2 linked regions of the Xenopus tropicalis genome follow. The protein of the gene in region 2 purifies or fractionates together with the protein of the main gene of each other region. This does not show direct contact. Links are inferred from orthologs where the notes say so. Each region holds a gene or a part of one and is shown on either strand. Other genes may lie near its edges.

Region 1 (4,373 bases), on a different chromosome or scaffold from region 2:
TTAGTTGGGATCAAGTACAGGTACTGTTTTATTATTACAGAGAAAAGGGAATCATTTAACCATTAAATAAACCCAATAGGGCTGTTCTGCCCCCAATAAGGGGTAATTATATCTTTGTTGGGATCAAGTGCAGGTACTGTTTTATTATTACAGAGAAAAAGGAAATCATTTTCAAAAATTAGAATTATTTGCTTATAATGGAGCTATGGGAAACGACCTTTCCATAATTTGGAACTTTCTGGATAACGGGTTTCCGGATAACGGATCCCATACCTGTAGAAGGTTACAGGCCCCTAGAATGAAAAGTAGAGGGGCATACATGTGTTTAAAATAGAACTGTGCCACTTTATTTGCTTTCAGACCTTGCTTAATTCCAGGTCTACTACTAAAAGCTACCCTGGGTCACCTTGGTCGAATATCGGAGACCTGTACCTTGGGGAGGTGTGTGCTTATATAAAAGAATACTGATGCCCCTGTTCCCTTATACACCCAGGTCTATTGATCCTCCTTCTAGCTACTCCCTGGTCCTTGAAATAGTGGCATGACTATCACTAGGTCAGTTCTTTATGAGAGGGATGGAAGCCTTTAGCCAATGTCGGACTGAGACCCCAGGGGCCCACCAGAAAACCTTATACCATACGCCCCCTCTCCAAACTATTTTTCCTCCTTTCCTCGCTGAACATCTATTCTTCCATCTATTTCTCCTCTTTGTTCCCATTCAGATATAGGGAATGACCATGAAGCAGGCCAATTGGTAAAGGGCAGGAGGGCTCACTGACACCTGGGCCCACTGGGAGATTTCCTGGTATCCTGGTGGGGCAGTCCGACACTGCATTTAGGGCTGGGGGGTCACTAACAAACCTTTCCATCAGTGTTTTATGTTTCTTTCTTTGGTCCTCGCTTTGAAGAAATCATTGTCTCTGAAAATACTACGGGTTTTTATAAATAACCAAACAGATATTTGAATGCCCACAAGGCCGGAGCATAGAAGACATCTTATTAAAAGCCCCGTTTAAGGCAGGGCAATATTGTTTTAACAGGCAGAACCAGCAGTGCAGAAATGGACAGAACATTTACTGCATTCATTTACTGCATTCAGTTGCACATCTATGTAACTGCAATTTTTTTTTTATAGATGTACACTGGAATTTAGAATGTGGCTAAAGGATTCCATTTCCTTTGCATAGGCAATGTTTTACTTTGTAATGGGACAGTCACAGGGACAACAAAAAAAATGTCTGTGGTAAGTATTGACAGCAAAGAAGTGAGAATGAAAAGGGCATGATATGAGCCAATTATGGATAAAGAGAGGCTTCAGAACTATTACGTGGAAAAGTCAAATGTTTTAATGTGTGGACTTTATGTTCATGGGAAAATAAACTCATACAGACAGAATAGAATCGAATTCACTTTCAGCACAACTACGCTTCCCAGAGTTCCTAGGGGTTGGTGACAGCCCCGCCTCCCCATGCTGTCCGGCTAGGTGACGTCAGACCCGGAAGCCTGCGTGCCCCGGGCGGTGCTGTGTTTACTTCCGCCCGAGCCGGAGCCGGGGGAGCGGGAGGGAGCGAGAGACCGAGGATGAGCTGAGCCAGAGTAGGCCGCAGATATGGAGTGGTTAATGGGGTAAGTGGCTAAAGGCGGGGTCGTTTCGGTGAGGTGGGGAGGATGAAGCCGGCTGAGCAGCCCGAGGGGGTGGAGCAGGTGGAGTGGCTCTAATATGAAGGGCAATGGGAGGGGTGACAGGAGGGGGGTCTGGGAGGATTTAGGGACATGGGGTTGCAGGACACTTACCTATAGGTGTACCAGTGTGGCGCAGCAATACAGTGCATGGCACGGGTTATTCATTGTGGGTCACTTTCCAGGAGTTGTTGACTACAACTCCCGTCATGCACAGCGATCCGGTGTTTGAAGCTTTGGCTAAAGAACAGCAGCAAGAAGGGGGGGGGGGGCTGCTGCAGGAGAGCAAGGAAATGCTACATGTAATGCATCAGATGTGGGTGCAGGACTGGCCTGCCCTGGGATCACAGTAGTTGGCCAACTAGCATTTATACCAATATAGGAACTAATTTCCCTTGCAGGCTTTGCAGAACATGACGTTGATATGGGTGAGTGCAGAGGTGTGTGTCTGTGTGTGTGTGTGTGTCTGTGAGGTGAGCTGGCGTTATGTAAGTGCAGGAGGGCCTATTGACTGCAGCACTGGCTAACCCTGGCAGCATCAGGGGAGGTGAGCTGGCATTATGTAAGTGCAGGAGGGCCTATTGACTGCAGCACTGGCTAACCCTGTCAGCATCAGGGGAGGTGAGCTGGCATTATGTAAGTGCAGGAGGGCCTATTGACTGCAGCACTGGCTAACCCTGGCAGCATCAGGGGAGGTGAGCTGGCATTATGTAAGTGCAGGAGGGCCTATTGACTGCAGCACTGGCTAACCCTGGCAGCATCAGGGGAGGTGAGCTGGCGTTATGTAAGTGCAGGAGGGCCTATTGACTGCAGCACTGGCTAACCCTGGGAGTGAGACTCAGGTTACTGTATTGACAGAGCAGCAGGGACATTGCTATAAGAGGGAATGTTTAACTATTAGGCCAATGGCAGGCTGGTCCCTCTATTACTGCAGTTGTACACCCCTGCCTGTCACTGCTCATAATGTGAATGGAAAGTGCCCCAGTAACTGCACAAGGAGCGCTGCCAGATGGAGCTCTGCTCTGCATTTCCCGCTGCTACTGTAAATACAGTAAAGTGCAAACATGTCTTATCTGTTGTATATATCTCTTGTTTAATTTCCAGCAGATCTCATGGCAGATGGAGGGGAATTAAAGGGACAGCATCATATATACAGTAGGGTGTATGCACCCAAGATTCGGTAGCTTGGGCAGTATCTGTAGCAAAGGAAAACAATTATATGTACAGAGCAGGAACCTACGGACTCTGACTCCATTGCTGTTCCTGAACTGCAATTCCCTGCATCAGGGAACTGTAGCTGCTTGAGGATTTAAATACCCTCTATTAGACTGTCGTTTGACGGAGCAGGAATATCATTGCTAGATGTGTAATAGCGAAAGTGTCAGTGTAGCTAGCCAAGAGTCCGACATGGCAGCCCCTGCAAGTGAGAGGGTATTGTGGTGTGCCAGGTAATACAGTACCCTCAAATACTCATTCCTAATGCCACACTCTTTGTTGTGCCAGCTTGGGCCTGTGTGCCAGGCAGTAGGCAGAGCGAGGGGGGCGGTGCCATTCATACCTGAGCTGTGTGACATTTCTCCTTCCTGCAAAGAAAGTGAGAACAAGTTTTTAGTCAAGCAGATATTTGAGTATTTAGCTTAACAACAGGCTTTGCCTTGGGTGAGGGCAGTTGAAAGACACAAAGAAAAGCAAAAGGAGGTTTGTGTTGTTCAGACCAGTGCTTGTGATGCAACAGTTGGCCCTGCACCTAATTACTCGTATTTAAGTCTGATGTAATATAAGATGAATTAAAGGGGAAGGTGTCCTTTAAATACACTTAAGGTGCCCATACACTTGAGGTCGCCAAGCGAGTGGATCTTCTCCTGATATCCCCACCTACGGGTGGGCGATATGGGGCGAATGTAGGCTTTGGTTGTTTGGCCCTGGGGCCAAAGGATCAAATTATAGTGGCACTAATGGGCACAGTTGGTGCAGGGACCGCATCAACGATCCAGATCAGGCCAGATTTCAGGCCAGATATCGGTCAGGCAGGCCCATAATTGCTGCCCACATACACGTGCATGACCACCTTTAGTGTGGTGTAGACAGTGATATTTTGAGATGTTTTAAAGTTGTCTTTGTTTCTTATTTTTTTTGTTGTTTTTAAATTGTTTAGCTCTCCAGTAACTATCTGGTTGCTAGGTTCCAGTTTATCCTAGCAACCAGGCAGTGGAAACTATTGTGTGTTACTGCAGTTCCCAAACTCACATCTAACTTTTAATTTAAGGGGCCAGTAGTAGTGAGGCAATTTGCTAATTGCTCATAGGCCGGAATATATAAACATAATAATGTCGTACCAAGCAGCGTATGGAGCCCATAGGCTGGCAGGGAGCTAAACAAATACCTTCCCCTGTGGGGCCTGCAGATGGACACCCCTTATGTAATGAATCGAATTAGTAGATGTGGGACATTTCATCTCGGTCCCCCATTTGCATTGCACATAACAGATGAGCTATTTAGATTATAATGGTTTTAGTGCTTAAGTGGAGATTATCAGGGGTCAGGGCACCTATAGGATGAAAGACTGATTTATATGAGAAGGACTCGAGCACTATCAGCAAGTATTTTATAGGCTGATAGTGGGCAAACCGTTAATGTACATACATTCATTTCACTTTACTCCTTTGCTAGCCCTTTAACTGAAAGGCTGCCAG
Region 2 (4,478 bases):
ATCTAACTTCACCTTCCTGGATTTACACAATGAATAGACAGTTAACTTTACCGAAGCTCCCGTTCCTCATGCTGTGTGATGAGGTTACTGTAAAAGTTTTCTAATGTCATTTTGGTCATTGTGACCCGCTCCTTTGTATGGTTACTCATTGAGATGCATGGAGTTTGCTCTGTCATTGCCATTACCTGTGAACAGAAAAAACATTTCTATTAGAATGATCCCACAGAAACATTTAAATAAATAAAACAATTAACATACTATAGTACAAATATCTTAGTATACAAAATATATATACAAATACTACAGAAGGCTTTTGCATCAGAAAATTACACATGCATAGGATAATCTGCACAGACTGGCTACAGAAATATAAAATACACTAAAATACTAACATCAGCAGGCAATAGTTTAATTTACATGAAAGTTGGCAATAAAATGGGAAGCTGGATGGGTCAGATTCAAATAATTCTAAAAGGTGGCCATACACGTAGCAATTCCAATCTTTCTTGCGACCATTGTTCGCACAAAAGATCGTTCCTACCGTCCAACCCTGAACGTAGATTTTGCTCGGGAGCCTTCAATAGCGCCCGATCAAAATCTTCTAACCTGGCCGATCGACGAGTTGACCGATATCTGCAGCCTTCTGCGATATCAGTTGCCTCTTCGAGACAGCAGTCATAGAAGTCTCTAGAGATGCACCTACAAAATTGCATAAAAACATGAGCTTTACATAAATTGCAAAAGTTGCAGTTTGCAAAGTTACTCAGTTTACACAGGTTTCAAAAGAAGTTTCCTAGGCATGGAATTTTGTTCCCTTTAATATACAATTAGGGTAGACTCCATCCTATTGTTTTTATTTTCATTTTGCAGAACAAAACAAAACAAAAAAAACAAAACATTTACAGATTTGTTTAGCACTTAGGTTGGGTACAATTGTTTACGTCATATCCACAGTGACACTGAGCAAAGGAAAGGTATGTAGCACTGGGTTATGGGGGTGTACCCCGGGTTATACATAGAGTTCAATCATCTGGTAGGGGTATATGAGAGTTCACACCTAACCATAGTTTCTGAAAATTCCCAGGTACACCCCGAGCATTGTGTATCAGTTTGATCAGGTGTAGTGTACTATTTATTAGTTAAACCCACTGTAGAAGAATTGGGGTCCATCTATTTCATGATCACCAACTTTTTTTTTGCATAGAACATAACAGAGCGTAGTAGTGTTCTAGATTTGTGTAAGGGCACTGTTTCATCGATTATACCCAATAAACAGGTCCTAGGAAATCTGATTCCAGGAAAGGATAAACATACATTAACGTAGCGGGTGACTTCTGTCCAGTATAGTGCTACCTCGGGGCATTCCCACATCAGGTGAAGGAATTTCCATCCTACTGTTGGCTTATAAACTATAAAAAAGGTGTAACGGAGCCTTTACATATGAATTGTCTGTACAAAGAAGGTCGTAGCTGTTAAAGGCATGTTGTTCATTTTATGCATATTTTTTTTTATATAATTAACAATGCCCAGCATTCATGACAGCACCAATCGAATTTCACATTTAAGTCTACTAGGGGTGCAGGGAACCATAAATTACAACTGATCCTAGTTTATAAGTAAATGTAATGAAACTATTGTATTCTAAACTTCTTAAATGTCTACTATTTACTATACAGAGAAGGCCCTAAATGTGACATTTCTGTTGTAATTGCCCTCTAGAACAATAGCACAGGTTATTTTGACAATTTTCCCTAACCATACATTTTAGTAGCCCAAACACACAGCACCAAACACCTGAAACAGCCCTCAGAGCTGCCATGTTTTTCAGTTAGAATTGACAGAAAAGTTACCTCTGGCTTCCAGGCTATTCTCATGGCAATAGAGACCTAAGTGTCTAAATATTATTCTTGTACTATGCTGGATGCCTACACAGGTCTGTTGGCTGTCAGTTTGTGGGTGCTAGAATGTGTGGCTTAAAACAACCATGAGGAGATGCTCACAAATGCAAATATAAAGAAACATAGATATACAGGCACCAACACACACACATATATATAGATACATACATACACACACACACACACACACACACACACACTTATATAAGAGACAAACACACACACACACACACACAAACACATATATACATACACATACGTATATAAGAGACAAACACACACACGCAGACATATACACGTATAAATGTACGCTACAATAAGACACAAACGCCTGAAAATAAAAACAGAACCACAACATAGGATAGTACCTATCCTCCCCCATCAAAAAACCCCAACACACCCCACTATTTCAAAGGAAAACAACAGTGTAGAAACTAGTGCTCTCATGAGGTCTATTAGGTAAATAAGCCGCGACTCACCCGCTTCGGCACCCTGCCTTCTCCCCCAACTCCAGCCCGAGGACTGGGACCCCGACCGATCACCTCAACGAGTTCACCCACTCTTTCTTGTACAGAGAACTTTATTACACTCCCCTCAAAGCAGCGGCTGAAAGCTGCACTGACTGCGCGGCACCAGCGTCAACAAATACTCTGCGTCGGAAGTACAGGCAGAACGTGGGCCTCCTTCTCCGCCATATTTGTCTCGGGCAAAAGTACCTTTGATCTACGTCATTTCTTACGTGTGGTAAAGGTTGCTTAGTTACCGTGTGTTATAAGCGAGTTTGTTGCGCTAAATAATATTGTAATTATTTATAGTATTTAAGGCAGCTGTGCCCTTGTTTTACAATTGTTGCAAAAGGCTTGTAGGGCAGTACTGAAGGAACAATACTTACCAATGAATTGACAGCTCTTGGCTGGCGTGAGTTCGTAATAGGGATGCCACCTTTGCCCTCAATAAAAAATGTACAAGATGATGATGATGACATTGGAGGGCAGAGCGGTGACAAGAGGGCTGTGGGGCCATGATATTTGGGGGCGTTTGTGCCTTTGTAGGGGCAGGGCCTTAACCTTGGTTAAGGTGGTTATTGGCAGCAGGGCCGCTATCAGGAAGTAGGGCCCCCCATGAACATGAAAGTGCAAAGTACAACATTTTTTGACCACGCCCCCTTTAGTGTGCACTATAACCAGCTCACTACCTTGAGATTACAGGATTTTTTTTTTCAAACCGAGGGAACTCCCCAAATCCTAGGCTGAACCCTCTGTCTTTATTCTGTGTGTATTTCACTTCCCATAAAGTCTCTTATGTTCTGGCACTTCCCACTGATTGGCAGATCTGTTCCTATTTGCCCGTCCGCATTGACGCGGTGATTGGCCAATAGGCGAATGCTGCATCATAACCCCACCCCGTGACATCACTGCCCCAACTCTTCCCTGCCCCATGACATCATAGCCCCACCTCTTCCCGCCCCCTGCCTGGTGAGGAAAGCTGGCAGAGGTGGCAACCCAACCCCCCTGGCTTGTACAATAAGTGCGGGACGGCCAGGCCCCCCTAAGATCCTAAAAATCCACGGGGCCCAGGACAGTTTCCCCCCTGTCCCCCCCTGATGGCGGCCCTGTTGGCTAGATTATTGCAGCACTATCAACCCCAGATGCTCCTCTGTAGGGGAGATCCTGTGGTGCACATAAATTGTTGACGATACATGCCCTTCTGAATGTGCATATGCTTTCTATGACATCACCGAATGCTTACTGCGCATGTGCTCCCGGAATTTTAAGAAAAACTTTGTTAGAATGTGCAAAAATCAGGGAAATGCCATTGGGTGCTGGGAGACCAGGGAAGAGAAGCCAAAATGGGGTAACTTGAAAAAATAGTAGAGTTGACAGCTCTGTTATTGTTTGGGTTTCACACGGTTAAAACCTAAACAGCCAGTTGTGATCCAAACAGCCCTAAGAAAACCTGAACTGTTCAGGTCAAAACCAAACAGGTGGCAACCCTAAAGTAACACAAAGGGACCCATTCATTAAAGCAAGATGACCACGATTAGAAAAAATTTGTATTTAGAACTTTTCTTACTGTTAATGATAATATTGTTAAAAAAAGGATGACTTTTTTGTGATACATTCGTTATTCCACCAAAAAGTCGTACTTTTATTAACGACTACAAAACTTTCGTTATTCATTCAGGCTTCGGTATCGTGACTATCTTTTGGCCAGGTTGGAGCTGCAGAGTGCCTTTGAGTCCTATAGAAAGCTTTCAAAATCATGCATTGAAGTCTGATTGCAACCACGATAATTTGTATGACCACGACACAAATTTTCGCACAATTTACGCACATCAGAAATTATAGTTTTTTTTCAATCGTACTTATACCAATCCGAAATTCATACTTTAATAAATGGGCCCCCATACGTTAAATTCCGAAATTCAGTATCTCAGTACATATATCACATATTCACGTTTAGCTCTAGAATTCAGCCCCTATATCACATGCTTTTATTCTCCTCATGAAGGAAGATTATGTTTCATTACTTTTCAAGTCCACACAGACACACTGGCTTGTTTTAAGAATACAGTTTAAC

The links.
Region 1: the proteins of stk38 (region 2) and mob2.1 purify together in Homo sapiens (affinity purification with mass spectrometry; 7 studies listed by BioGRID and IntAct, with this or other methods). This does not show direct contact. The link is inferred for Xenopus tropicalis from reciprocal best matches to the Homo sapiens genes STK38 and MOB2.

Annotation. Positions count from the first base shown.
Region 1 is NC_030680.2:21,644,846-21,649,218, reverse strand, and holds the start of mob2.1 (MOB kinase activator 2), read left to right. Parts: upstream 1-1,544; 5' UTR 1,545-1,609; coding exon 1,610-1,626; intron 1,627-4,373. UniProt on the Homo sapiens protein: Stimulates the autophosphorylation and kinase activity of STK38 and STK38L.
Region 2 is NC_030678.2:53,265,241-53,269,718, reverse strand, and holds the start of stk38 (serine/threonine-protein kinase 38), read right to left. Parts: upstream 2,892-4,478; 5' UTR 2,884-2,891; coding exon 2,791-2,883; intron 2,581-2,790; exon of another isoform or gene 2,378-2,580; intron 700-2,377; exon of another isoform or gene 607-699; intron 186-606; coding exon 52-185; intron 1-51. UniProt on the Homo sapiens protein: Serine/threonine-protein kinase that acts as a negative regulator of MAP3K1/2 signaling. Converts MAP3K2 from its phosphorylated form to its non-phosphorylated form and inhibits autophosphorylation of MAP3K2.